Callithrix jacchus: one gene and its partners. The protein of the gene in region 1 binds, or shares a complex with, the protein of each later gene. Links are inferred from orthologs where the notes say so. Each region holds a gene or a part of one and is shown on either strand. Other genes may lie near its edges. The genes, in order: MED1, MED13L, MED18, MED23, MED31, MED7 and PPARA.

Region 1 (3,511 bases):
AGGTGGAAACCTTTGATTTGTCTTTATCACTTTTCTCCCGCTTGCCCTGAAACTCTCCTCCTGACATGTTATGTTTGGAGGACATAGGATGGCTGGAAGAATTTGTGCTCACCCCCATCTGGCCGTCCATTGGGTCTTCACTCCCAGGGCCACTGGTGACAACCCCGTGCTTCAGTTTATCTATGACGGCTGTCAAGGACGGCTTCTTATTTCTGCTGGGAGATTTTCCTTTGGAACTCCCATGCTGGTTCTGAGAGGATGACATGGAAGAGCCACTTGAGGAAAAGGAGGAGGAAGATGCCGTACAAGAATTAGATGATGGGGGAGTTTTCTGGGACAATGAGCCTGAGGATCCTAACCCTGAAGATGACTTCATGCCAGAGCTTGAACTAGTTCCTGACATATGAGAACCACCAGAACCTGAACTGATAGGGGACTTGGCTTTAGAGGATGGGGGAGTTCCAGGAACAGGCTTCATTGGGGAGGCAAGTTTATCAGAGCCTCCAGGTGGCCTTGAATGAGAAGGGGATATGTTTGGTTTACTTAAAGGATTCATAAGTGATGATGGCTTTCCTTGAGGTTTCATCTTGGTGCTACTAGAGCTGCTGCTCAGTCCATGCTTGGTAATAGGAGAGGAGCCTGGCTTCCCTCCAGACTGCGAGGAATTTTTGGACTGGCCAGATCCAGAAGATCCCTGGCTAGAGTATATACTACTACTTAACTTGGAACTTGATGAGCCTTCTGATTTACTGCTTTTCATCTTCCCTGAGGTGGAAGCAGAAGATGAGGAAGAAGAGGAAGAATGGCTATGGTGGCTTTTGCTGCCTGAGGAAGACACAGAACCACTGCTGGTATACTGACTATGAGAGGAAGGCTTACCCACCATCACTGTTCCCTTAGGAATCTGAATAGTGATTTTGGGAATGGGTGGTGTGGCAACACCTGGGGGAGTCTGAGATCTTCCTGAACTGCCTGGAGATTTAGATCCACCTGTACTGGTAGGAGGGGTAAAAGGTCGGTTAGAAGAACTATGAGATGGCGACTTTCCCTCAGTGTCTGCCTTCTTCCGCTTTGGAGGCTTATCTTTGTTTTTCCCATCATTAGAAGGGGTCCGACTGCGCTTCCCTGGTTTGCTGTCTAATCCTGGCCCCGAAAGAGTACTATTACTGGTGCCATTGCCTTCCTTTACCCTCTTTTGAGTCTTTTCTTTCCCTAAGTCCCCAGTGGCCAGTAAAGGACCTTGACTACCACTGTGATGCTCCATAAGATCTGCAGGACCTAAAGCTTTGCCAGCTACTGATATAATACTGAAATCAACTGTGTCAGCTTGGTTATTGCCCTTAAACTTGGTCTCCCCATTATCACCTCCAAGCATTGGCACCCCCAAAGTATTTAGTGCCTGAGATGCAAATCCTTTGAAATCATCATTATCCCCACTTTGGCTGCTTTCATCAAAATATTCTTCTCCAAAACCACTTTGGCTCTGGCTGTTCAATAAATCAGGATTGAAATCTACTCCATCATGAAAAAAATGATTTGTAGGAGAGTCACTATTGGGACTTCCAGCAGCATCTGCAATAAGGTCAGCTGGATCAGTGTATGGATTTTCATTATTGTTAGTTTGAAAGACATCAGAGTCAAAGAGGGTACTCTGAGAATGCCCAGAGCTTGAAGAATCTCGAAGAGGGGTGCCAATGGCTGGGCAATCATCACTAGTGCTGGGAAGCTTAGAAGCTTCTTCTGCAATGTCTGAAAGGATGTCAGTTACATCTGGGCCAATGCTGTCTGAACTGGATAGTCGGACCATCCTTTGAATACTGGGTTGGGGGTGAGGTACTGGTTGTGGGTAAGTTGTTGGGGGAGTGCTACACTGGCTTGGAGCTGGAGTGATATGTGGCGTATCCAGTGTGTCAGCTGTCATGTTGACATCGAAGATAGGGTTCTGTGAGTCAACATCCATTGAAAATAACTCCCTCTGAAAGTCATCTTCAGTCTGGTGCTTTGGTTTGTCAGGTGGTAATCGTGATGACTTCTTTTTCTTGGTCTTGTTGCTACCCGAGCATATATCCATCCGGGGTGAGCCAGAAGAGGAGTTCTGCCTCTCTAAAGGGCTGCTTCCATAAAGGGTTGAGAAATCCTGGGCAGGATTATCTTTAAGAAGGTTCATGAGCATCGGGTGGTTCTTGGTGTTGCCGGCCATCGAAGAGACAGGTGGCGGCGTGTGATGAGGAGGGGTCGGACTCGAGCCAATGGTAGACCCCCCGTTCCCTGTGATTTGCAACAAACTGGTAAGAATTGGGTTCTGAGACACCTTGCTGAAGTCCTCCCCATGGCCCACCGACTCATGCCGATCTTTGATGCTCATGCTCATATTAAACAAGGTGGTAATGGGACCCCCCGGAAAGGTGTTGGTTGGTGTAGTGGTACCACTCATTGGGTTGTTGCCTGTGGTCATGCCATACCCTGGGCTGCTAGCCGGGGGCAGGTTCTTTTTCACCATGTCTTCAACTGTCTCTGCAATGAGGGACAGTGCTGGGGTGTCGGCCTGAATGGTTTCAGCTTTCCTCCGAATAGCCCTCATCGTCACAGGGATGGACATACATCTGCAAGATAAGATAGAGGAAAACAAAGTTAATATTGCAATAGCTGCTGAATGAGACCTGAGATTTAGATACAACATAAGAGTTTTGCAGTAAGCAGTTTTCAGGTAGGGCAAATAATAGTTCTATCAAATACCAGAGCTTTGGGTAAATTCATTTGAAAAATCTAAGCCAAAATGAAATTGTCAACCTCTTAATAAGAGTCACACAACAAAAGCAAACTATAATCAAGAGTCCAAATAATTGGACTTCAAACTGAACTAAAAGAAAATTGGTAATAATGGAACTCAGTAAGAAAATATCTCCTTAGGGTGGGCGCAGTGGCTCAGGCCTGTAATCCCAGCACTTTGGGAGGCTGAGGGGGTGCATCACTTGGGGTCAGGAGTTTGAGACGAGCCTGGCCAACATGGTGAAACTCTGTCTTTACTAAAAATACAAAAATTAGCCAGGTGTAGTGGTACACACCTGTAATCCCAACTACTCAGGAAGAGGAGACAGGAGAATCACTTGAACCCAGGAGGCAGAGGTTGTAGTGAGCCAAGATCATGCCACTGCACTTCAGCCTAGGTGACAGAGGGAGACTTTGTCTCAAAGTAAAAAAAAAAGGAGGCCAGGTGCAGTGGCTCACACCAGTAATCCCAGCACTTTGGGAGGCTGAGGAGGGCAGACCACAAAGTCAGGTGTTCAAGACTAGCCTGCCCAACATAGAGAAACCCGTCTCTACTAGAAACAAAAAATTAGCAGGGCATGGTGGTGGGTGCCTGTAATCCCAGCTACTCAGGAGGCTGAGGCAGGAGAATTGCTTGAACCTGGGAGGCAGAGGTTGCAGTGAGCCGAGATCATCCAACTGCACTCCAGTCTGGGCAACAGTGCGAGACTCTGTCTCAAAAAAAAAAAAAAAAAAAAAAAAA
Region 2 (4,136 bases), on another chromosome or scaffold:
TGAATGAATAAATAAATAAATAGAGTAGATGTGCTCTTTTTGTAAAGCTCATCTTCTACATAGCCACACTTTCCCCTGGTGAGCAATAATCTTCGACTTTTAGCACATAAATGGAGAAGAGAGAGCTGATGGGATTTTAAGACATGTGGTAAGGATGGGAGGGGAAAGTCTTCTAAATCTAATAAATATAAAGCGAAGACGGGAAAGCAACCTGCTTCCAGAAAAATGTGTCAGTTCAATTTTCTTCCTCATCCTCCTGTTTGCAAATTGTCTTTGAGATTCACTTTCAAGACATCTGTCTTGAAGTTTAGTCATCACTAGGAACAATCAGAAAATCCATGTCATAAAAAGCGATTTTCACAGTAACTTCCTCACCTCGTACACAGCACTCAAGTCCCTGAAGAAAGTTTTGGCTCCTTCGAGCAAGGCCTCATTTTCTGGACACACCACAATATAGGCAACATCACGGTGGCCCCCATATGGGTCCAACAACAGCCTCTCCCAAAATGGCAAGGAGAATGGTGAGATGGTGAGGAAATCCTTGTCATAGCCTACCAGCAGAGTGGGGATGGGCAACGGCTCAGGAGATTCTTCTGAACCTAAAATGACATTGTAGTTTAGGAAGGTGCTAGTGTTTTCCCCACAACCTAGACAATTTAGAAATTCCTGGTGCACTGTTCTTAATTCTGGCATCTGAAATGTCACTGCAGGTTCACAAGATATTCTTAAAAGTGTCTTTCAAATCATCTAATTAAACGGCCACTGATGAGGACTCTTAATTAAGTAAGTCAGAATCTTCTTACAAAGGTTCAGTAAGATCAGAGGGCTGACTAGAACAAGTTACAATTAACCTTCCAGGCAGCACTGCTTCATTTCCTTCAAGACAAGCATTATTATCCTGACTATGATGAAACAGACAGAACTGGCCCAGAAGTCCATCCAGATGAAAATGCAATGAGGACTGGGAAGGTGAGGAGAATCTAAGAAACGCACTTTGTAGGGATTATCTTCCTCATTGACCTGGACTATGACAAGGGTGATAGGAAAACTTGACCCAAAAGTAATTTTAAAAAACAGATTATAAAACTTAATGCTCATGAAGAAAAATATTCCATTTTGTTAGCGAAGCAAAGACTTGACAGTAACTAATGCTGCTCTTCACTAAAAAGCACTGACATCAGAAGAAATTTTAAACGGGGCAAAGACCCTACCATAGGTTCCCCGTCCTGCCATTTTATGGAACTGCTGCCAAGTGAGTGGTCCCTGCACATGCTGGATATTCTCCCAGGTCCTTCCCGTGCGCTTCTTTTGGATGGCATCTTGGAGAAAGGGCTGCAGGGACAACAGCATACGAACCACATCCTGGGAAGAGAGCATGCTGATGTCCAGCACTGGAAGAGAAGTGAGAAGAAACAGAGAAGATAAGGGGGCTAGCACCCTCCTTTTCCTTGCCATCACCTTGAGCCTCAGTTATAGTCCAGGACAATGATGTTATTAGCTGTAGCAAATTCTAAAATATCTGACTTAGGAGTCAAAAGGAAAGATATTCTTCTACTATATTAGAGAAAATAATTGATAATGTAGTATCAAAAATAAAAAGCGAAATGGATTACTCTATAAAAAAGTTTAATGGAAGAACTGTTTAAAAGTAGAAACATGAATAGGTATGAACTTTTTAAAACCATGTAAATCTATTTTCAAGGATTTCCATAAAACAGCTACAAAAGTTTCTTAATTATTGTATTACTTTTATTTGCAAATATCGATGTGTTGTTTATAATGATGAGTAGGAAATAATGGAACTTAAATAGAAGCTTTTAAAAACTCTTTAAATGCTCTTAATTGTAAAAATATTTTCACAAAATACAGAATGCATAAAGAGAAAGCCAATCTTCATTGCAGCCAGAGGCACATGGAAACACAGCAGAAGCCACTCTAGGACTGAAGCCACCTTCTTCACAAGGACCCTAAGGCAAGCTATTGTTTCTGACTAGGTCTTCCTCTATAACCTCCTAGTGTCCTCAAATCCATTCCCACCATTTTCTAATCTATACCCAGAATTATAGCCAGTGCACACTGTAAGTTTTCTTTTCTAACTGCACAAATCTGATGTCAGTGCTTCTTCCTAAAACCTTTCAATGACTTTTTATTGCTTCTTGCAGGAAGACCTAACCCCCGGGATGCCTCTAAAAAAATCTAGCCCCTGCTGGCTTCTAACTTTGCTTCAGTTTCAAAGGCCCCAAGCTCTGTACAATCAAGGGCCTTCTTACTTGCAGCTCCTTCTGTCTGGAACACATGCCTTGCTCCCCATTCTCCTTCCTCAGTTAATCTGTACTCATCACTGAGATCTCCAAGCAAATGTTACTACTTCTTCAACAAAGTCTTCTCTGACCTTCAGCCTAGAGTGCCCCCGCCTATCCCATGCTTTTATCACTTACAAAATGGGTTGTAATAATATTTGACTTGTGTAATTATTTAATTAATGTTCACTTCCAGAATAGATTAGGAAGTCCATGAGGGCAGGTGTCTTGTCTCTTTCAGTAACCATTTTATCACCCATGATGCATTGCAGTTTATGCAGTGACTGAATAAGAAAAGGGAATAGCAAGTTGCTTGGCACTCTTACAGCCCAACTTCAAAAATGTTTGTGATCTGGAGCTTTTAATAATACAGCCAGTTACATGCCTCCGTAACCACAATGAAAAGTAAAATGTGATTATAAGTGATATAACAGAGGGGGAAACAGAGAAAGGACAAGAGACTCTGGAAATAGGTGGATGGCTTCATGGAAGAGGTTCCTTGGAAACTTGATGTGGAAGAATGGTGGATTTAAACATGCAAGAGTGTGCAAAATTATCAGTCTGCAAGCTCGTGATGACTCTGATACTCAGCTGTCACAGGTTTCCAACATGGACTCCTTACTCATGAGTTTTACAAGAGGAAAATTTCAGAAAACAATTACTTTTCTCCAAAGGCATTTCAATATAAAACATTCTCCCAGTTGTTAAGTTTGGGATGAAATCAATATAGCTCTCACTTTAGTTCTTTTTATCCCCCCTTAAATACATGAAATTAATTTATTTTGGTCAAATAACAAAGAAAATAAAGCTTTTAAGTTAAGATCATACCAAGATATACCAAGATACTCCTCAGAGCAAATTTGTGTTCTGGGACACCTACCATTGCTGTGAGGCCAAGAGTGCACAGTGGCACTTCTCACCAGAGCTTCGTCCACTTTTCCACCAGTGGGGTTATCCACATACTGCCGCCCCTGCTCCAATGCATTAAAGCATTCCGTCCAGTAATCGTTATTATCTGCTTGCACCCGGTCATAACTCCAGCTTACACAGGGAAGAGTTTGGCGATTGTTAGAGGAAATGTAGTCCAGGAAACTCAGTGAAGCAAAAGGTTGTGTGTGTTGACTCTGGAGGAGGAGGAGAAGGCTTATGGGTGGTTCCTGGGATTTTCTGGTTCCTTCGGCCTGAGGAAGGAAGGTTGTCTGACACATCAGTAGGCGCCGCTCTGCAGCCTGACCAATATCAGAATTCTTCCCAAAAATATCCAACTCATCTTCAAGGAAGAGTCCTGAATTGTAGCCAAGTTTGCGGTTCATAATCGCACTAAACCCACAGGTACAGCGGTACTGGTCCTCATTGGAAGAATCCGGGATGTAAAGCCCGACATCCGCCCCTTTGATGTTCATGTTGCAGGCACAGATGCAACAGCTGTCAAAGTTTCTGTCTTTAAAGATATTCATCACGGAATCGGAGAGAATCAGGGTAACATAGAGACTGTGGGCTTCAGGAATTGGTTGCATGGTGGCAGGCTCCACAGAGTTGAGGGGCCGCGTAGTAGAGGGGGTGGAGGCTGGTGACCCCTGATCAGTGCTGTCATACTTAACAGACCCCTGACCACTGGCAGTGCCCCCACCTCTGGGAGTTCTTGGGGTCCTGGGGGTTCGTGGTGTGGGGACAGAGAAGCGAGGGGTTGCTGGAGATGGGAGGACTCCTGCCCCACTATTGCTGGCTGGGGCAGCACTGTTCAACGTCACGGGTGTGTTCATCTGTGGTGTGTTAAGATAGTCTGGATCTGCTAGGCTCCCAACACTAGGCACGTTACTGTAAAAAGAGAAGGCA
Region 3 (4,804 bases), on another chromosome or scaffold:
CTAGGGTGGCTGAGGTGGGAGGGCTGCTTGAGCCCAGCAGGCTGAGGTTGCAGTGAGACAAGATCGCATCACTGCACTCCAGCCTGGGTGACAGAGTGAAACCCCATCTCAAAAAAAAAAAAAAAAAAGAAAAGAAAATGTTAGGAGCAGGGAATGGCTCACCATTGCATCCTACATTCAGGACAGTCTCAGAAATGTTCGTTCCTCAAACATCTTAGGTGCTTTATAAGTGTGTTGGTTCATTCAATGTATGCTTACTAAATGCTGTCCTGGGGGCACTGTGCTAGGCTCTGCCCTTGTGGACATTACAGTTTAGTAGTGGAAACAAGAAATAAATAAGTAAGGCTGAGTGCAGTGACTCATGCCTGCAATTCGAGCACACTGGGGATGCTGAGGTGGGAGGAATCATGTGAGTTCAGGAGTTCGAGACTAGCCTGGGCAACATAGTGAGACTTCATCTCTACTAAAAATAAAAAATAATAATTAGCTGGGCGTGGTAGCATGGGCCTGTAATCCCAGCTACTGAGGAGGCGGATGCGGTGGGATTGATTGCTTGAGTCTAGGAGGTTGAGGCTGCAGTGTGCTGTGACTGCACCACTACATTTCAGCCTGGGTGAGAGAGCAAGACTCTGTCTCCACATAACCAAACAAGTAAATGAAAACAAGGAAATAAAAGAGAATCAGATGGAGAGGAACTGGAGGGGACAAAGGGGAGGAAACTACTCTGAGATGTTGGAGTGGTCAGAGGACTCTCTAAGGGGATGACAGATGAGCTAAGACCCTACGATGAAAATGAAATGGTTAGCTGGGCGTGGTGGCTCATGCCTGGAATCTCAGCACTTTGGGAGGCCGAGGAATGCGGGTCACAAGGTCAAGAGATGGAGACCATTCTAGCCAACACAGTGAAACCCCATCTCTATTAAAAATATAAAAATTAGCCAGGCATGGTGGTGCACACTGTAGTCCCAGCTACTTGGGAGGCAGAGGCAGGAGAATTGCTTGAACCTGGGAGATGGAGGTTTGCAGTCAGCCTGGGCAAAAGAGTGAAGAATCCATCTAAAAAAAAAAATCAGAGAAACACGACCTAGAAAGATAGTTGCTAAGGGATAGTTACAGGGGAGTGGGAATCAGTGTTTAATGGATACAGAGTTGCAGTTTTACAGGATGAAAAACTATTTTAGGTTGGGCACAGTGGCTCATGCCTATAATCCCAGCACTTTGGGAGGCCAAGGTAAGTTGATCACTTGAGTCCAAGAGTTCAAGACCAGTCTGGCCAACATGACAAAACCTCAACTCTCTACTAAAAAATACAAAAATTAGGTGGGCATGGTGATGCACACTTGTAATCCCAACTATTCGGAGGCCTGAGATGTAAGAATCCCTGGAACCCAGGAAGTGGAGGTTGCAGTGAGCCAATATTGTGCCACTGCATTCCAGCCTGGGTGACAGATCGAGACTCTGTCTCAAAGGAAAAAAAGTTCTATTAAGTATTTTTTCAAGCTATTCACAATAAACACGAGTTCTAAAGATCTGTTGCTTAACAATGTTAATATACTTCACACTACTGAACTGTACACTTAAATATGTTATGATGACAAATTTAATATGTTTAATGCATATAAAACTATAATATGAAGTAACAATTAAAAACATAGCTGATTGCCAGAAACTGTGCAGGCTGCTTTTGTGTTAAGTCTCTCATCTTCACGGAAGCTGAACAGAGAAGAGGAAAACAGGTAATCCAAGTTCCCTGGTTCACTTACCCTGCAGCAGGTACTCCATCATGTTAATGGTGCCCCCAGTGACAGGCATCATGGTGACTGGAGGTGCCTCCATGGTGTCTAAGTTGAAGACAACACAACTCAGAATGCCCAGTCAGGTAAGGCATGAGATATACCTGAAAAAGAATTCACTTGTTTATACATCAGAGTGGTGGAGAAAGACCAGATCTGTTGTGGCACTAGCCTTCAAATCAAAAGATTCATTCATTCAAAAACGTCTGAGTATCTCCTTATATGGCCAGTTCCAGGAACTGATAATACAGAAATATAAAAGGGAGATCTAATCATGGAGTTATACCATAACCTTCTAGTCTCAAGTTCTGAAACTTCCAAGTTACCTGTGCAATCTTGAGAAAGTCCTACAACCCCTCACCCTGGGACTCAATGTATTCCTTATAAAATAAGGCCAATTTTTTTTTTTTGAGATGGAGTTTCACTCTTGTTATCCAGGCTGGAGTGCAATGGGGTGATCTCTGTTCACTGCAGCCTCCGCCTCCAGGATTCAAGCGATTCTCCTGCCTCAGCCTCCCGAGTAGCTGGGATTACAGGCATGTGCCACCACGCCCGCCCGGCTTTTTCTGTATTTTTAGTAGAGATGGGGTTTTGCCATGTTGGCCAGGTTGGTCTTGAACTCCTTGGCCTCAGGTGAGTCTCAGGTGATCCGGCCTCCCAAAGAGCTGGGATTACAGGCATGAGCCACCGCGTCCAGCCGAGGCCAGTATTTTTTAATTTCGGAGGCTATGTGGCTCTAATGACATAATAAAGAGGAAACAAAATTCAGAGGAACTGAAAAGTGACTTAAGGGCCCTTAATTTTATAGATGAGGATACTGAGACTCGGAGAGGGGCAGAAGGATACACAGAGCAAGTTGGTGGCAGAGTTTGGACCAAACTAGAATCTAGGCATTCCATCTCTCTAAAAATGCCTTCCCCTCTCCCTTTTTGTTTTTTGGAGACAGGATCTCGATCTGCAGCACAGGCTGGAGTGCAATGGGGAGTTCCCAGTTCACTACAGCCTCGAACTCCTGGGCTCAAGCGATCCTCAGCCTCCCGATCTACCTCCCAAGTAGCTAGACTACAGGCGGGAGAGCCACTGCGGCTGGCCTGAAAATGCCTTTTAAAGAGAGCCAAGAGAAAGTTATTTTAAGATGATGGTGTATAGGTCCCTTTAAGCCGCATCCAGAACACGTGTCCATTTAAACACTAGAAACACACCTCCTTGAGGCTCTAGCTTCTTCTCAGGAAGCCGGGAATTATATTCACCCGCGCACCTAGGCGCCTTTGAGCGACGATTAGATTCCAGCCCTCCGGTTAACCGAGCCCCGGAAGCCCTTAGACGGAAGCAACCAGCCAACTTCCTCCTCTTTTCACCTCCGATCGGAAGCCGAAGTCTCACAAACCTCGAAACTGCCGTTCCGGAACGTAAGGGTGCCGAGAAGGCCAAAGAGCTTCATTGCGGACAGACAACCAAAAACGCATGCGCGAAATCCCGGGCTGCTGTAAGAAAGATGGCGCCCTCCTTTGGAGCATTCCTCCGGGAGCTACCTGAAGCCTTGATGTCACAGGCCTTCCTCTAGGAAAATATTTTTAGGTTTGACAACCTGGAGATGTACTTGTGTAGAAAGTCTCTTGGAACTGTTAAGACTTACAGAGATTATCATGAACTTAAAAAAAAAAACAAAAACTGGGCTGGTCCGAAGGTAGTGAGTTATCTCAATTGATTGTTCACAGTTACACAGATCGAACTCCTTGTTCTACTCTTTCCCCCCTTCTCACTACTGCACTTGACTAGAAAAAAGAAAAATAAAATTAAATTAAATTAAAAACACACACACACACACACACAAACTGAGGGGTTAGGCATGGTGGCTCATGCCTGTAACTCTAGCACTTAGGGAGGCCAAAGTGGGCGGGTCACTTGAGTTCAGGAGTTCAAGACCAGCCTAGCCAACATGGTGAAACCCCGTCTCCACTAAAAATACACTAAAAAACCGGGCATGGTGGCGCATGCCTGTACTTTCAGCTACTGGGGAGGCTGAGGTGGGAGAATCACTTTAACCCGGGAAGCGGAGGTTGCAGCAAACCTACATTTCACCACTTGCACTATAGCCTGGATGATAGAGAGAGACTGTATCCAAAAAAAAAAAAAAAAAGAAAAAGAAAAAGAAAAAAAGAAAGTAAAGGAATAAAGAATGGCTACCCCCATAGGCAGAGCAGGCGAGTGGAAAAGGTGTAGGCCTAGATCCAGGAGTACTCTGCATGCCAAACTAAAGAATAGATGTGGCCAGGCACGGTGGCTCACGCCTGTAATCTCAGCACTTTGGGAGGCCAAAGCGGGCAGATCACAAGGTCAGGAGTTCAAGACCAGCCTGACCAACATGGTGAAACCCCGTCTCTACTAAAAATACAAAAATTAGCTGGGCATGGTGGGGCATGCCTATAATCCCAGCTACATAGGAGGCTGAGGCAGGAGAATTGTTTGAACCCAGGAGGCGGAGGTTGCTGTGAGCTGAGATCGCGCCACTGTACTCCAGCCTGGGTGACACAGCGAGACTCCGTCTCAATTTAAAAAAAAAAAGAATAGATGTGAGCTTTAAAGGAACTCTGATTGCAATGTCGAGAAAAGTTTGGGAAAGGAGAGCCTGGAGAAAAAAGATCAGGCCGGGCTCAGGTGGCTCAGACCTGTAATTCCAGCACTTTGGGAGGCAAGGTGGGCAGATGGCTTGAGCTCAGGAATTCAAGACCAGCCTGAGCAACATAGTGGAAACCTGTCTCTACAAAATATACAAAAATTAGCTGAGTGTAGTGGGTCGCATCTGTACTCCCAGCTACTTGGAAGGCTGAGGTGGGAGGATTGCTTGAGCCTGGGAGGCAGAGGTTGCAGTGAACTGAGATAGGTTACTGCACTCCAGCCTGTGCAACAGAGGGAAAACCTATCTGGAAAAAAATTAAAGAAAGAAAAAAAGACCAATGAGGTGCTTTGGTATAACTCTGGCTGAGCAACAACTGTGAGAAAAAGATTTT
Region 4 (4,136 bases), on another chromosome or scaffold:
GTAATCAATTTCTGATATATCTCTTTTTAACATATCATATCTTACTTTAGCCCCAATAATTCAATAATACAAATCAGAAGGTCTAACAGCCATAAAATTTTGAAACTATTACAAGATGCTTTATTTGGTATGTTTTTATTTGCTAAGAAAGTAACACAAATTCACAGGTGCTTTGTCAAGCTTTTCCTACAATCACAGAGCATTCTCAAACAAAAATCATTTTTTAATTTTTACTTTTTAAAAATTTAAACATATCATCATGAAATCTTACTAAATATGATAATGTAACTAAAAACACAAGACTTTCTAAAAGTCTCGGAATAATTTTTAAGAACATATAAAAATCTAAGAAATATGCAATCTAAATGATTATTACTAAATGTGCTGATTATTGATGGGTAAAATGACACCGATGTCTGGGATTTGCTTTAAAATTGTCCAACACTGACAAAAAAGATAAAGAGGGAAGATAAAATGAGTATTTCTTCATGATGGTTATAACACGGTAGGTTTACTGTTCTACCCACTCTACTTTTTGTGTATGTTTAAAAATTTTCATAATAAAGTACTTCTAGAAAATGGCAATCATCAAAGTACCTCACATTTTACTCAAATACCTTATATGATAAAACACCCAGGAGACACAATGAGGCTCAACTGTCAAAACAAAAAATAGCTATTAATAGACACTGTTGTCTGGCCATTGAATGGTGTATATAGACTAAAACAGCTTTAGTGATTTCTAAAAATGTAGACCTACTTAGAATGTAGAGAAAGAGCTTGCTATACTTCCTACTCAATTGTGATTTAGCATAAACTTTGGAAATACTCACAAAACCACACTGAAATCCTTAAACATAATTATACATAATTTACTCATCGTGTTGTCATGAATAGTTATTCAGTAAAGCTTACTTCTTTTTCTGGGTATAGCAAGTCGAAGAGCTTCATGACAGGGAGAAAATCAGCTAGTGCGTTTTTCTGAATACTTCCAGAAATGAATTGCAGGAGAACCCACATAAGATGATCTCGGCCTTTAATCAGTCCTCGCCCTGCTAACTATAAAAGATTTTTAAATACACATGTAGACATTGTTACTTAAAGACATAAACAGAGGAAGATTTTGTTGTTGTTTGTTTTTTAAGGAGAAACCCTGGTTCTTGTTCTCAGAAAGTCAACATCTCACTTTGACATTTAGTAATTACTTATTCTCAATTCAAGACACACCATGCAAAGCCTGCTAAATTATTTTAATATTATATATAAATATTTCCTGCTCCCCGAAACAACTAAGCATACCAAAAATGCAATGTTGTAGAACATAATCAAGTTGATCAGGTATGCAAGAGAATCGAGTTTAAATGGGATAATTCTTATTTTAAAAATCTCATCAAAATGTAGGGAATACACTATCATACCAAAAGGATATATTTTTTTTAATTTGAAATTATCAAGGACTGGTTACCACAAAACATGCTTCCTGGTTTTCTATACATTTTGTTTATTTATTTATATCTTTAGAATAAGGATAGAGATGGGGTCTTGCCATGCTGCCCAGGCTGATCTTGAACTCCTAAACTTAAGCGATCCACCAGCCGCAGCCTCCCAAAGTCCTGGGATTACAGGAGTGAGCCACCTGGCCCAGCTGGTTTTCTGTACATTATAACAGGAACTAATGGTGGTGGGGGGTAGGAGATGGTGGTTAAAAGGATTTTTAACAATTTTTGTGAAAAATTTTCTCCATGATAATCCATGCCATGGAGATGTTATATAAATCAACATTTATTTTATTCCCATTCAGTATGTCTAAAATTGTTGACAAAAGGTGACTTTTCCCACAGACTTAAGTCTTTTACTTGTCTCCCTTTTTTGGATTCATCGTCCTCCCTTCTATTAATTCCCAGAGTAGGAACCACTGAGCAAGCCTAGACTCCCATTATTTGCTGTCAGTCACCTAGTCCTATTCTACCTCCGGATATCCCATCTCCAGTTCCTCCTTTCTGTCCTGGTTTAGGCCTTCAGCATCTTTAGCCTAGCCCACTGCAGTTATCTCCCTACTAATTTCCTTGCCTCTGGCTTTACAGACACACACACAAAAAACCCATAATTATATCTTAATAGTTGTCATAACGAAAGCACATTTCCCTGCAATACAAATAAAAGGGAATAGTCCCTAAGGTTACAGTGAGCCTCTGGCTTTGTTCCCGTTAATCTCTACATCACTCTCTTTCTCCATGTGGCCATTAGCATTTTTCAACTTGCATACAACAATGCCATTCCCCTCTGCATTGCCTCCAAGAGAAAATCTAAACTCCTTAGAACAGGCACATGGCCATTTAAAGTTCTCCATATCTGCCCTTGCTTTCCCGCCTAACTTATCTCACCAATGATTTCCCTTTTATATTTTTATTTCCAGTTCTCACATATCTCTATCCCTTTCTAAATGCTAGTCTTATTGCTAGGGAAACACTTTTCTGTCTTTTTCTCTTAGCAAGTTTCTATTCATCCTTCAAGTGTTTGCTTAAAGACCTCTTTGATACGGCCATCCCTGATATCTCTAATACAGACCATTCCTTTTTTTTTTTTTTCTGACATGGAGTCTCACTCTGTCGCCAAGGCTGGAGTGCAGTAGTGTGATCTTGGCTCACCGCAAGCTTAGGGACTATTTCCTTTTATTCATATCGCAGGGAAATGTGCTTTCATTGTGACAACTATTAAGAAATAATCATGTTGTCTGTGTGTGTGTGTGTGTGTGTGTGTGTGTGTGCGCGCGCGCGCGCAGGCGCGCGCAGATATATATTTCCTCCTCTAGTGAGGTGCTCCTTGAGGATATTACAGTGCCTTTTCATCTTGTATCCCCTGGTGCCTGCACTGGGAATACACAGAATGAATGACTGAATCCTGGCTTTACAAGGACAAGAAAGTAAAAAGTTAAGAAACCGTAAAAGCAGTGAACAGGACAGAAATTGGGGCTCAAAACTTCTGCCAGTTCTTAAATCACTGGGGAATGTCCATAGCAGTCTAAAATACACTAATCAAAAGGTGAAGTCACTCTGACCAAAAGATTTAGTACATACCTTCTGATGAAGAGAAAGCACCATATGTGGAAAACTCGCAAACTGGAAAAGCACAAAGAAAATGAGCTGACTCGAGAGATGCTGCCACAGGAGTTGGCTTGTTCCCCCATCGTCAAACTTCTCCTCGGTCTCAGATCGCTCCATGGCATAAACAACCAGATCCACCAACTGGTCCTCCAGCACAGGGCAGCGCTGCTTGTGCTGTAGGGCAGAGATTAAATACAGTATTCCAAAAGCCTCTCGGTTAGTTTCAAAAGTTACTAGTTAATGGGCATTAATTGTAACAAGAGGCTGAGAAGCATGGAATGAAGTTGAACTTAAGAAGTTAAGGTTAGATTTAGTCTATTAAACCTGCATTATGTTATATTATCATAGAGAATAAGTTATAAAAATATTATTTTTTCAGGTTTCCCACAAAACAGACTTTCCATTAGCTTTGGACTTCCGCTATGGACATCACTTGTTTCAATTAGACAAAGGGCAATGCATAGTAGAAAATTTTGTTATTTATCCTTTGAAAAAAGATAACATTTTAAAGGGCATATGAAACAGGGATAGTAGTATTAATTTTACAATCTAAATCAAAAGATGAAAACCCTGGATTTACAGGGATCAAATATTATGATAGAACAAATAAAGAGGTTATACGAATCTCTTTATTTTAAAGTAACCTCTACAAGTTTACACAAACTTTATATTCAGGGGTATGTCTAAGTAGCTACCAGATTATTCAACGTCTGTTTTTGAGTGTGTGGTATTGGTCCTGATACTGAAGCGGAAACTTCTTTCATGGGGGAATAAAATTGATCTCTGCTCTTCCTTCTTGGAAGCCAAACATAATGCAGCTTTAATTTTAAATTAGACCACTTTAAAATCTAAAACAAGAAAAAGAATTGAGTTTAAACACTAAAAATGAGAATGCAACTTCCCTTTCTAGAGGCAAAAAGATCTGTGCTTTTAAAAGTGATTTAAAAAATATACTTTTACCAAAAGAAATAAGTTAAGCCATATTTAAGCCATTTTCATATTTCCTTTTTAAATTCGTTATATGACTTAGTA
Region 5 (4,865 bases), about 12 Mb from region 1:
ATGGTACAAAAGTGACATTCAGTAGAAATACTACTTTAAGTACTCACACAACCATTGTTTCTCACTTTTAGTACAGTAAGCAATAAATTACATGAGATATTCAACATTTTATTATAAAATAGGCTTTCTGTTAGATTATTTTGCTCAACTTTAGGCTAATGTGTCCTGAGCATGTTCAAGGTAGGCTAGGCTAAGCTATGATGTTTAGTAGGTTGTAGATAGTAAGTGCATTTTCAAATTACCATATTTTCTACTTACAATGGGTTTATTGGGAGGTAACCCCATTGTAAGTGGAGGAGTATCTGTAGTGCCTGGCACAGAGCAGCTACTCAATAAATATGACTCTTGTCCATCTTGTTCAAACCTCAGGTCAGGTTTCAATGACTTCCTTTCACTTTCCCTTCTAAGATTATTTTTGCTTGCTGGTAGGTTTGCTATCATTTTTAACATCTAACCTACCTTAAAAAAGTATGTGAATGGGGGTGCCAGGTAAAAGAAAACCATTTACTTTGAAACATAAACAAAGGGCAATTAATAATTTATGAGTTAGTTGCTTCTCAAGCTTTTAGCAGGCATGGAATCATTCCACAGGTCATGATTTCAGTTTGGTCTGTGTTCCTAAGGGGCGAAGGTCATCGGAGGGCTTTGGATCCCAAACTCACCTGGCTCAGAGGTTCAAACAGCCTTTGTCCATCAACCCGATTTATACAGCATCCTGGGCCTGAAAACCTTTTGTGCTGGCTTCAAGTGAATATAATTCACTGGGTCAAAAGCAGGCTGGTCCAAGACGCCGCAGGATGGTCAAAAAACGTTGGCTGTGTTCAGGAACCGCAGCCTAGCTGTTTCTTACATTGATTTATGAGCTATTTCCATGAAACCGAAAAAGATTGGTCCACCTGGCAGCTGGCTGGCTGGCAACTGGAGGCCTTTCTGTCCTGGCTGAGGGCCCTGGCACCTTGGTGGCCTTTGGGAAGCAGTATCTCATCAGGCTTCTTTCTCTCGGAGGGAGGGGGTGGTGGTGGCGGCCGGCCTGGCCCGCGGGGCTGGGCTCTCCGCGCGGTGCAGAGACGTCTCCACCCGCAGGGTCCCTGACGTGGCGGGAGGTCGTTTCCGTGCGCCGCGAGGAGGCTTCCACGTGCCAGGAGGACTCCTTGAGGACGCCAGGGAGCCACTTTCCCGACGGGGAGAGGGAAGACCCCTCGCTGCGGCCCCGTGAGGTCTCCACCCATCCGGGCGGACCGTAGACGTCTCCGCGTAGCGGGAGATCCGCACCGGGGCGAAGACTGCTTGCCCCCTGGGCTGAGGCCATTCTGCCAGGCGTGAGGGGGGCCAGGGAGGCCTCTGGGCACCCCACATACCAACCGTCACCGCAGGCAGAAGAGAGAAAAACTACTGTACTACCACAGGGGGGAGAGCCACAACACGATGATGTGGAAGCATCATTGTCCTTCGAAGGCTAAAACACTAGGCTTCTGCCCCTCGGGCGCTCCCACGGCCCTGTCCCCGCCCCCTCGCCGTTCGGTAGCCAGCGGGGATGGAGCGGCCCGGGGATGGGCGGAGCCTCCCGGCCGCATATCCCACAATGCCCCGGGACCGGAAGAGGGAGCTGTGGTTTTTGGAACTTCCCTCGCCACTCTGGGCGTTTGCTCTGTCGGGCTGGTGGCGGGTTGGTGTGTGTTTGTTATGGCCGCCGCCGTCGCTATGGAGACAGGTGAGTAGCTCTCTGAGCCTGGAGTCTTCTCAGATGGAACGCTCCTAGGCCCAGACCTCTTCCCCGGGGCTTCCTTTCAGGCCTCACTCTGCAGGGTTCGTATTTGGACAGGGCGGAGAGAAGGCCCTTGTGGCGTCTAGAAAGGCTAAGGTACTTTTCGCAGTTCTCCTAATTTGGTTTGTGCCACATCTTTGCTATTCAAAAACCACCAGCTCGCCAGGGTGGGCGAGATTAAGAGAGGACTTGTGTGTTAAACCGTGTCCTCCTTGATTGGTTTTCTGCTTCTCACGAGCTTGCGTATTTGAAATACCGTCGCTAGACTTGTGTATCATTGTGCTGTTGCTGCTTCTCAGATATGCATAAACTCCACGATCTTTTAGGCTCTCTGCAGTCTCTTTTTCGGCTTGCATCCTAAGTTTTTCTTAAAGGATTCAGCGCGTAGCTTTTGCGAAACGTAATCACTGTTAACAATTGTTACAATGCATTATTAAAATAGGGGAAGCACAGTTATTACAGCTTACCTAAGTGATCACTTAAAATTCCTGCAAAGTGGTCCACGAGTTGGTAGGAATTCTGCTCTGTTTGTGTGGCTGTTTTCTTTGATGATTTCTCTTTAACTTTAGAGAAACTTCTAACTTAATCCTTTTAATCAAGGCTCCGCTTTTCTTAGATTTCGAAGAAAGGTTTATCTCCACCCACTCCCAGTTTAGGAAGACCATCTCGATATTAGTCAGGTTTCTTTATTCTTTCCTTACCACAAATCAGTATTATATACAGTGACCTTTATTTTCGATGATTTTTGCTGTCTTGTCTCCTAGATGATGCTGGAAATCGACTTCGGTTTCAATTGGAGTTGGAATTTGTGCAATGTTTAGCCAACCCAAATTACCTTAATTGTAAGTTTTTAAGCACCTCATTAAATTGAGTAGCTGTTAATTTCTGACAGAAGAGTTGCAATTCAAAATAGTATCTGCTTGTACACATTCTCAATGAAATGAAATTACACTTAGCTGGTGTATAGATGTAATTGTGTACATTGGGACTTGTATTTTGAATCCGATGTGTGTTGGTGGTGGGAGTGTTATGTAAATAGATCCTTTATATTAGGGGTAACAAATCATAGTTTAAGAATTGGTTTGACCTACAGATTTTCTTTTTTTTTTTTTTTTAATGCTTTTCAGTTCTTGCCCAAAGAGGTTACTTCAAAGACAAAGCTTTTGTTAATTATCTTAAATACTTGCTTTACTGGAAAGACCCAGAATATGCCAAGTATCTAAAGTAAGTTTAATTTTTATAATCCTAAGCATGTGTATACTTTATTATATAATAGATTTCTTAGTTTCACATTGGCAAAAATGTATTTTGAATCTCTCCACTTCTTTCAGTTGTCACCTTAATACAAGACACCCTCATCTCTAACTTGTATCACTGCAGTAATCTATTGCCTGGTTATCTCTGCTTCCACTTTTACCTTCCTGCTCCCCTCCCGCTCCCTGCAAACCAAACAAAGCAAAACAGCTTTCTACACAGAAGCCTGCTTAATCACTTAAAAATATAAATCAGAACACTTTACTTTTTTGCCTAGAATCTTTCAATGGCTTTGCATTTCCATGCGAAATAAAATCCAGTCTCTCTTTTTTGGGCCAAACCCCTCTATGATCTGGCTCTGCTTTGTCTGACCTTGTCTTTTACCGACCTCCCCATCTCCCCAGGTTTCTGATCTCAAAGAACTCACAATCTGTAAATGTTGTTTAACATTACGTAATTTCAGCCATGGGCTGAAATTAAGAACACAAAAAGAGAGTATCTGTAAGGAAGGTGTTTGGGGTTGTTGGGAGGAGTCTTACCTGAATCTTAGAACTGCTATCTTTTCTTTAAGTCCTGTTCTGTGTCAAGAACAGTGCTAAATACTTCACATGCATTTACTCATTTATGTGTATATATATGTTTACCATTCAGGTTGTTCAGCAGACACTTTCCTGTTAAAGCTTACTAAGTTGCAAGAAGTGTATTATAACCAGAAAGCAATTCCCTTTTAATGGTAAAAAAAAACAAAAAACTACACCTTGAACTCACACCTCTGCTTTGTTTTAAGCAGGTAGTCAGAAAGCAGTAGTGAACTTTTTTTTTTAAGACAAAAATTTGAGAGGAAATGTTTCAAATTTGTCTTGAAGTCACTTTTCTGTATGCAGTAACAGTTGACTCATGAAGCATATACATCTTGTGTTGCCTGCAGGACCGTTTGTATCTTTTCTGGCTTTTTATCCATTTAATAATCCAAAGAAAAGACTTTTAAAAAAGTATATTTCAACAAATGTTGTATGTATGTAGATTTACAGACTCTGTGTTGGAAGCCTTAGCCATCCGTAAGTTTAATTTTATCCATAGTGTTGCTGAGAGATGGTCATCTACACTCCGTTTGGAAGTTTCCATTGATCCCATGTGACTCTGTCAAGGACAGCTGATTCGATTGTTAGCCAGAAGTTATAAAGTTCTTCCTTATATTGTGATATAATATACTTCCTTGTAGCTTCAATCTGTCCCTGGATTAAGCTAGAACCATTCTATACCCTCTTGGGGACAACAGCCTTTTAGATATTTACATTCAAGAGAGATTGCAAATTAGCCCATTTTGGGCATTTTATTTAGTCTGCCCAAGATTTTAGTTTTTTTTTTTAATGCTTGCCAATATTTAAAGATCAGAAAGTTTTATTTAATAAATGCAGATTTCCAGCAACTCTTTAAAATCTGGAAGATTTAGCAACCATAGATCTTAATTCTTCCAATCAACAACTGGCTGATGCTGAGAGCAGCTGCCACTACTAGCTGCTTTCCACCTGGTGGAAGAGACTTTCTACCACTTGGCTTGGTTCATTGCTAACCAGTAGCTGCCACTATAACACCTCTCTTATGTCTCTTTTTCTCAACTCCCTTCAGCCATTGTGCCATGGTGCCCAGACTTCTCATGAATTCAGGTTCCCTCCTTTGGATATTTGGCAGTTGTACCTTATGCAGTTCAGCCAAGAACTAAACACAGGCCTTCAGATGTGGTCAGAGTACAGTGGGTCAGAGGTTCTTTCTTTTCTTTATGTGGACATACACCTCTATTAATTAAACTTAACGTTTATATTACTCTTGGGGTGGGGTGGGGAGA
Region 6 (3,254 bases), on another chromosome or scaffold:
TGGTGGCGCGTGCTTATAATCCCAGCTACTTGGGAGGCTGAGGCAGGAGAATTGCCTGAACCCAGGAGGCGGAGGTTGCAGTGAGCCGAGATCACGCAATTGCACTCCAACCTGGGTAACAAAGAGTGAAACTCCGTCTCAAAAAACAAAAAACAAAACAAAACAAAAAAAAGAGAATGAAGGATCATGCAAGAAATGTTTATGGGGCAAGCCTGGATTCTTATGCCCACATTTCACTCCCTAAAACTTAGTCACATTTTCTCATAGAGATGCTGGGAAAGCAGGGAAATGTCCCTGGCTGGGTTGCTATATCTCAGCAACTTATCTTCAAAGAGCAAAAATTTTAGTAGATACCTAGTAGCCTGCCACCAAACCCCTATCCCATTGGGGACTTAAGCAAGTCTGACTTTAGCTTTAAAGAAAATGTGTAGCTAATAACATAGACATCTTAATTACTAAAATTAATGTCTGTAACTTAAAGTGGCCAAAGGACTTATTACCTGAGTGACTAGAGAAAAAAACAATCTATGGGACTTCCACGCAAGAGTCTATTCAGGATAGAAAAGACTGAGATAATGGGTTTACAGGAACAGTTATGAGGAAAAAAAATAAATTTGTTTTATAACTTTACTGGGTTCCTCTCTACTAACATGTCATACTACTTTCTGGAGCTTAAGCAAAATTTTTAATTAAGTCTAAAGATCTCATAGTTTTACATTTATACAGCTTGATGTCTATTACTTATCTGTCATTCTTAAAGAAAATAATAAATCCCCTTTTCAAGGATGAAAACTTTGTTATTATTGAGGTTATCATCAAAGTTTTACTGCAATTCCAAAACATAGGAATGTCCTGTACAACAGCAGCTAACACTTTGCTTTCTAAAGTGATTATTCTTAGTGCAGGGTACTCATTTGCCTATGCTTGTTATACAGCAAAATTACTGCCTATGACATCTCATAATTGAAAAAATTGGAGTCAAGATTAAAGCTGTTTACATTTTTAGTGAAACCTCTCTGAAGACTGTCCAAAAGAAAATAATATATGATGCTATTTATCAAAAGTAAAAAAGAAAAGAGAAACATCTTTCATGGTCTTTCATTCATTTCATCAATTAGGACACACAAGGCAGCATCTTTCTCTATAATCTGATCTCTCCTGTGACCCGAATTTTCTCTTTCTTGTATATTCTGTCCAGTACAATTGTTGCTATCATCAGCATCCATCGGTTCAGTTTTTACTCTCATTCCTGCTTCCGAATGAGGCAAATCATCAGGCAAAGAAGCCAAGCAATTCTGAATCATTTCAATTACTCGTTCCAGGTGCTTCTGAAACCTCTCAGCTGTTTCAAGCCGTTGACGTTTCTGGACCTCCATCATGACTCTCAAGGTCTCTCTTGCTTGGTGGGGTCGGTATTCATTTATAAGATGATGCACATGTACAAAAAGCAGCTTAAGATCTTCTAGTTTCTCTTCTCGTTTTATACTCCCAGGGCTTCTTATTAATATATCTAAAAGGTCCAAGAAATTAATAAGGATAGACATATTAAGTTTTCTCAGTTCTTTCTTGTGATCAAACTGCATAGGATGAAGCCGTTCGATGCCCTGACTTTCCAAAGGGCGGATGATAAGATCATCACACTGGAACTGATTGCCAAACATCATATAACTGTCTTTTATTGGAGGGGGAGGCTTGGGAGCTAAGCCTTCTTGAATATTTTCATCTGTATATTCTTTAATATATTGCATTGGAGGTGGTGGGAGTGCACTCACTTGCTGTGGTTCACCCATTGCACCAAGAACCTAAAGACACAGACCAAAGATTTATTAGAGTAGAGCCACGAAATGAACCTGTTACATTTCGTAACTACAGAAAGAATATTTTCTTCCTTTTCTTCCAGTTGTTTGCGGCCCAAGACAAGATGATCTCCTTGGTTTCTAAAACTAACATTTATGATAGGGAAAGTCTGCCAACTTTTCTAAATAGGCATTATATTCTCAACCATTCACATTTTCCATTTTCTCCCTAATAATTTCATCAGCATAAAAAAAAATGTACCATCTTTTCATCTTTAAAGAAAATCTTCTGGATTCCACACCCCTTACCACTTTGGCCCATTTCTCTACTCCTCCATAACCAAACTACACATGTTGTCTCCCAATCTCAGGTCATAATCACTTTTGCTTTATGTTACAGATTAATTTTTAACAGCAAACACTTGTATCTCTCACAAACACTCTGACAAAATTAACATTGCTAAATCCTAAACACCTGGTATGATCCAAAGTTCCTGAATGAAATGATAATTCAGTTCCATACCCTTTTTGTCACAGTGTACTATGCAATTTTATATGGACACATTAACTTTTGGTTTTTGTTTGTTTTTTTGAGATGGAGTGTTGCTCTGTTGTCCAGGCTGGACTGCAGTGGTGCCATCTCAGATCACTGCAATCTCCAATTCCTGAGCTGAAATAATTCTCCTGCCTCAGCCTCCAGAGTAGTTGGGATTACAGAAATGCGCCACCACACATTTCAACGTGGTGAAACTCTGTCTCTACTAAAAATACAAGCTAATTTTTGTATTTTTAGTAGAGACAGAGTTTTACCACGTTGGCCAGGCTGGTGGCTAACTCTTGACCTCAGGTGATCTGCCCGCCTTGGCCTCCCAAAGGGCTGGAATTACAGGCGTCAACCACCACGCCTGGCCAATATTTAAAAGCTTTTAACATAAATTCAGATTACGCAAAAAGTGCATGAATATACAAAGAACACTTCATATTCTTCCCTCAGATTCTCCATATGTTAACAGTTACCTTCATTTGCTTTATTGGTTTCTCATTCCTTTACCCCTAAATACTTCTGTGTGTTTTCTTCTAACCACAGCACAATTACCAAAATCAAGGAATTAACATTGATCTAGAACTTCAAAATACAATTGTTGACAGCTCACGTTTCATCCCACTCAAACCTTTTGAGGTGGGGAGTGCTGGTCTGTACTTTGCTACACCATGTGTATTCCTGTATTTCAGTTGCCCTTTTCCTTAGGCCAACTACACGTTTTGTGGCCTAACATAATCTTCACAACAATTCCATGAATTAAGGTTTTTTTGGGTGGTTTTTGTTTTTGTTTTGAGACAGGGTCTCAATCTGTCTCTCACGCTGGAGTGCAGCGATACGATCAAGGCTCACTGCAACCTCGGCTCCCAGCTTCAAGGCATTCTCTTGCATGAGCCTCCTGAGCAGCTGGGGACTAC
Region 7 (4,136 bases), on another chromosome or scaffold:
AAACAAATATTTTAGACGTTGAAAAAACTAGCTTATATACAAAGGAGACTTAATAACCTAAACCACTGTAAAAAATAACCAACTCTTGTGAAATCTGCCATTGGAAAAAAAACTTCCATTTGAAGAAGACCCTACCCCCTCTCTAGATCCGCAGGGTGACCAGCTCCCACCCAGCCCAGCTATGAAGTCATGTGTGCCTCGTCTCCGCTCAAAAGAGCATCTACTCTCCCGAGAGTTACAACAATAAAGCATCATATCTTTAAAAGCAACATAACAGAAGACATGGGAGCTGCCAGATGGGGCCCGGAGGAACATTTACAAGTAAGGCGTCAGTCTGTCCCTAAGAATACCACCATGCCCACAGACAGCCGGACTGGGTGGGTTCAGGTTGACAGGACAGAGCTGAGTGGACCGGGTGGGCTTCGGGAGCTTGTCTTGTTTCGCTTACCACAGGTGCTAGCTTACGACAGTCCAGATGGGGATCTTGAGACTCCATTTTCTGGGCTCTTCTACGCAAACCTGGAAATGGGCTTTTCCACATATTAGTTACAACCACGAACACTGAACCAAAAACAAAGCAACAGCTGCATTTTGATAGCTTATCCAACAGTTCTTTAAAATTCTCCATCCTATGACTGAAAAGCAGCCTGTTGCCTTTCTTTAGAGTCAGGAAACAGAAGTGAAGTCTTTGAAATAAATATTTTGCTGCTTTTCACATACCTCACCTTTGGATATACACCTAGACTTAGAGGCTGATAAATGTTAAAAGTGCGGATCAATTTTCAGAATCACAAAGGAGCGCTATGTCAAAAGGTGGGTGAATGGGAAGCCAGGCCACGAATTTTGAGGTTACCGGTTAATTAAATGGTAAATCACGAACGTGATCTAAGGGGCGAGTTAAAATCAGACCACTGAGCATCATTCTCCTTAATTTCCCCAGTCCTGAGATGATCAGCCGCCTCCCACCAGGATTTGAGTTCTGCACTCTCAGAAGCACCGGTTAAAACAAAGACGTGGGATAATATGCCGGTTACCTACAGCTTAGACCGTCCACGCTCTAAGGTTAAAGTGGCGCGTCTCTGTGCAAAATCGCGCCGCTCCTCTCTCTCCTCTGTAGTGCTGTCAGCGTCAGAAGTCCCGGAAATGGTGTGGCCGACCCGGGGGCCCTCAGTACATGTCCCTGTAAATCTCCTGCAGCAGCGGGTGCAGCGCGGCGTCCGACTCGGTCTTCTTGATGATCTGCACCAGCTGTGCATGCTCCGTGACCAGCTGCCGGAGGTCCGCCATTTTTTGAAGAAGTTTTGGGAAGAGAAAGCTGTCGTCCGGGTGGTTGCTCTGCAGGTGGAGTCTGAGCACGTGCACAATACCCTCCTGCATTTTCTCAATGTGTCCTACGTTTAGGAGGCCTGGGCGATCTAGGCTCGAAAGGAGAGAGAGACGTCTGAGTGTGATGATCACCTAGGAACCAGCCGTGCCTATTTTATACGGCCTTTTTTCTTTTTCTTTTTGAGACGGAGTTTCGCTCTTGTTACCCAGGCTGGAGTGCAATGGCACAATCTCGGCTCACCTCAACCTCCGCCTCCTGGGTTCAGGCAATTCTCCCGCCTCAGCCTCCTGAGTAGCTGGGATTACAGGCACGTGCCACCATGCCCAGCTGATTTTTTGTATTTGTAGTAGAGACGGGGTTTCACCCTGTTGACCAGGATGGTCTCGATCTCTTGACCTCGTGATCCACCCGCCTCGGCCTCCCAAAGTGCTGGGATTACAGGCTTGAGCCACCGCGCCCGGCCTATGCGGTCTTTCTTAGAAAACACTGAGCTGTCTTTAGATATCGTCAGCTTGACTGGAAGATACACTTGGATTTTGACAAAGTCTCTAGGTGAAGTAGGGACAGACAGGACCCGTGCTCTTTCCTAAATATTCATACTACGAGGCTGCAATACTGCCCTCAGTCCATCTTATGGGGTGGCCCTTTCACTTCGGATTTACCACCTGTCCTGGAAAAAAATTGGAGCTATTAGGAGGAACAGTACATTCTGGAGATGATCACCACCACCAATTTTGCATAATGTGGGAAATGAAATTCTTTTTCTTGAGTCGAAACTGGATGCTCAGCTGCAGGCCTTCCACCATATTGAAGGAATGGGATGTGTTAGAACTAGGTTTTGTGGGCCAGGCATGGTGGCTCACGCCTGTATTCCCAGCACTCTGGGAGGCCGAGGCGGGCGGATCGCCTGACATCAGGAGTTTGTGACCAGCCTGCACAACATGGTGAAACCCTGTCACTATAAAAATTACAAAACTTAGGCAGGCACTAATCCCAGCTATGCCTGTAATCCTAGCTACTTGGGAGGCTGAGGCAGGAGAATCGCTTGAACCCAGGAGATAGAGGTTGCAGTGAGCCGAGGTTGCACTACTGCACTCCAGCCTGGGTGACAGAGTGAGACTTTGTCTCAAAAAAAAAAAAGAACTAGGTTTTGTGTTACAGACCCTTCTAATATAAGTCAGGTGAAAAGAAAGTAGAGTGAGAAATGAGGTGGGGTCAGGATTGCGGCATACTGGCTGGACAGAATGCTTAGGAGACCCTGGAGTGGGTGGGGAGGAGAGTGGGGCAGGTCTGAGACTTGGTGCAGGAAGTGCCAGCGTTCACATCAGATGACCTCCCTGGGGTAGCTGGTACTAACTAGACTTCCTGGGACAGTCTCAGCACGTGAGACCTGACTCTTGGTCCAGAAAATGTTGCCCTGAGCCATGTCCAGCAGGCAGTGCTCCCTTTGCAGACCCACGTATTGCTGTGATTCTTACAGTGTTGCTAGTGATGAGGATTTAAAAATCTTCATTGTTTCTGGTTGTAAATATAATTCTTAAGTTATTTTAAAAACTCTTGTTTTCATATTGTTTTAGTGATGGGGCCTTGCTATGTTGCCCAGGCTGGACTGCAACTCCTGGGCTCAAGCAATACTCCTGTCTCAGCCTCCAGAGTGGCTGGGGCTGTGAATATGAAGTCTCTAAAGAACGTAATTATTGCCAGGCACAGTGGCTCATGCTTGTAATCCCAGCACTTTGGGAGGCCGAGGTGGGTGGATCACCCTAAGGTCAGGAGTTCAAGACCAGCCTGGTCAACATAGTGAAACCCCATCTCTACTAAAAATATAAAAATATAGGGTGTGGTGGCACACGCCTATAATCCCAGCTACTCAGGAGACTGAGGCAGGTGAATCACTAGAAGCCAGGAGGTGGAGGTTGTAGTGAGCCAAGATCGTGCCACCACACTCCAGCCTGGGTGACACAGCAAGAATCTGTCTCAAAAAAAAAAAAAAGGAATTTTTTGAGAAGTAGAAAGAAATCCCCCCCTCATAATTTTAATCCCACCATTAATAGATTTAACATATATCCCACTGGACATTTTTCTATACACATAGGATTGATAGAGGATTACAATCTCTTTCATAAAACTTTGATCATGCTCCGTATAAATAGTTCTGCAATTGCATTTACCCACGATGCTACATCTTGACCACTGGTGGCATACTGGCTGGAAAGGACAAATTATGCGTAACTGCTTTGTCCTTGTACACTTTATGCAAGATCGTGAGGACTTCCTCCATCTGACTTGTGCCCAGCCAGACAGTAACAGGCATGGCTGGTAGGGCTGAGTCAGCTTCATGCTGAGAGTGAGTCAATCTCTGGGGCGCAGTATGGCTGCAGGCAGTGTGGGAGGTAGTCACCCCGTCCGTCTCCACCGAGGCTGGGTAAGGTCAGCCGAGTCTACGGTAGGTGGATGACCTTCCTAGACTTGAGACAGGGCTATTTAAGGCAATGTGACACTGAGCCAAAAATGCAGGGGCTGCAGAGCTGGCTTCCACAGACACGACCAGATCTGCCTTCCCCCGGATCTGCTTCCTCGGGCAAAGCAAACCTTGCAGTCCCTGCCACTCGGTACTGACGGGTATTATACTTGGCCTTGGGAAATATATTTTGCATCAACATAACCGAGTGTGACGGCAACCATACTGACGTGTGTATGGCACTTCATACGACACTATAATACGAACACAGCCACCTCATTAGATCATATCTTCAGGAATATCACAATGTATAATAAGTTATATCTGTTTAACATATTAGACATAATT

The links.
Region 2: MED1 (region 1) and MED13L share a complex: the UniProt entries of both Homo sapiens proteins name them as parts of the mediator complex. The link is inferred for Callithrix jacchus from reciprocal best matches to the Homo sapiens genes MED1 and MED13L.
Region 3: MED1 (region 1) and MED18 share a complex: the UniProt entries of both Homo sapiens proteins name them as parts of the mediator complex. The link is inferred for Callithrix jacchus from reciprocal best matches to the Homo sapiens genes MED1 and MED18.
Region 4: MED1 (region 1) and MED23 share a complex: the UniProt entries of both Homo sapiens proteins name them as parts of the mediator complex. The link is inferred for Callithrix jacchus from reciprocal best matches to the Homo sapiens genes MED1 and MED23.
Region 5: MED1 (region 1) and MED31 share a complex: the UniProt entries of both Homo sapiens proteins name them as parts of the mediator complex. The link is inferred for Callithrix jacchus from reciprocal best matches to the Homo sapiens genes MED1 and MED31.
Region 6: MED1 (region 1) and MED7 share a complex: the UniProt entries of both Homo sapiens proteins name them as parts of the mediator complex. The link is inferred for Callithrix jacchus from reciprocal best matches to the Homo sapiens genes MED1 and MED7.
Region 7: the proteins of MED1 (region 1) and PPARA are in contact, whole or in part, in a crystal structure (PDB 9IWM), measured with the Homo sapiens proteins. The link is inferred for Callithrix jacchus from reciprocal best matches to the Homo sapiens genes MED1 and PPARA. Residues at the interface, in NP_004765.2 of Homo sapiens: Asn638, Thr639, Asn641, His642, Pro643, Met644, Leu645, Met646, Leu648, Leu649, Lys650; in NP_001001928.1 of Homo sapiens: Val284, Thr285, Thr288, Glu289, Lys292, Phe297, Leu302, Asn303, Gln305, Val306, Thr307, Leu309, Lys310, Pro458, Leu459, Glu462, Ile463.

The regions. Positions count from the first base shown.
Region 1 is NC_133506.1:119,865,384-119,868,894, forward strand, and holds part of MED1 (mediator of RNA polymerase II transcription subunit 1), read right to left. Parts: intron 2,604-3,511; coding exon 1-2,603. UniProt on the Homo sapiens protein: Component of the Mediator complex, a coactivator involved in the regulated transcription of nearly all RNA polymerase II-dependent genes.
Region 2 is NC_133510.1:119,026,156-119,030,291, forward strand, and holds part of MED13L (mediator of RNA polymerase II transcription subunit 13-like), read right to left. Parts: intron 4,119-4,136; coding exon 3,181-4,118; intron 1,392-3,180; coding exon 1,212-1,391; intron 600-1,211; coding exon 376-599; intron 1-375. UniProt on the Homo sapiens protein: Component of the Mediator complex, a coactivator involved in the regulated transcription of nearly all RNA polymerase II-dependent genes.
Region 3 is NC_133508.1:64,999,999-65,004,802, reverse strand, and holds the start of MED18 (mediator of RNA polymerase II transcription subunit 18), read right to left. Parts: upstream 3,119-4,804; 5' UTR 3,052-3,118; exon of another isoform or gene 2,996-3,051; intron 1,898-2,995; 5' UTR 1,837-1,897; coding exon 1,764-1,836; intron 1-1,763. UniProt on the Homo sapiens protein: Component of the Mediator complex, a coactivator involved in the regulated transcription of nearly all RNA polymerase II-dependent genes.
Region 4 is NC_133505.1:138,249,757-138,253,892, forward strand, and holds part of MED23 (mediator of RNA polymerase II transcription subunit 23), read right to left. Parts: intron 3,279-4,136; coding exon 3,078-3,278; intron 1,060-3,077; coding exon 916-1,059; intron 1-915. UniProt on the Homo sapiens protein: Required for transcriptional activation subsequent to the assembly of the pre-initiation complex. Component of the Mediator complex, a coactivator involved in the regulated transcription of nearly all RNA polymerase II-dependent genes.
Region 5 is NC_133506.1:108,210,218-108,215,082, reverse strand, and holds the start of MED31 (mediator of RNA polymerase II transcription subunit 31), read left to right. Parts: upstream 1-1,601; 5' UTR 1,602-1,683; coding exon 1,684-1,711; intron 1,712-2,529; coding exon 2,530-2,607; intron 2,608-2,892; coding exon 2,893-2,989; intron 2,990-4,865. UniProt on the Homo sapiens protein: Component of the Mediator complex, a coactivator involved in the regulated transcription of nearly all RNA polymerase II-dependent genes.
Region 6 is NC_133503.1:19,893,910-19,897,163, forward strand, and holds the end of MED7 (mediator of RNA polymerase II transcription subunit 7), read right to left. Parts: intron 1,803-3,254; coding exon 1,089-1,802; 3' UTR 794-1,088; downstream 1-793. UniProt on the Homo sapiens protein: Component of the Mediator complex, a coactivator involved in the regulated transcription of nearly all RNA polymerase II-dependent genes.
Region 7 is NC_133502.1:213,759,487-213,763,622, forward strand, and holds part of PPARA (peroxisome proliferator-activated receptor alpha), read right to left. Parts: intron 1,416-4,136; coding exon 1,168-1,415; 3' UTR 1-1,167. UniProt on the Homo sapiens protein: Ligand-activated transcription factor. Key regulator of lipid metabolism. Activated by the endogenous ligand 1-palmitoyl-2-oleoyl-sn-glycerol-3-phosphocholine (16:0/18:1-GPC). Activated by oleylethanolamide, a naturally occurring lipid that regulates satiety.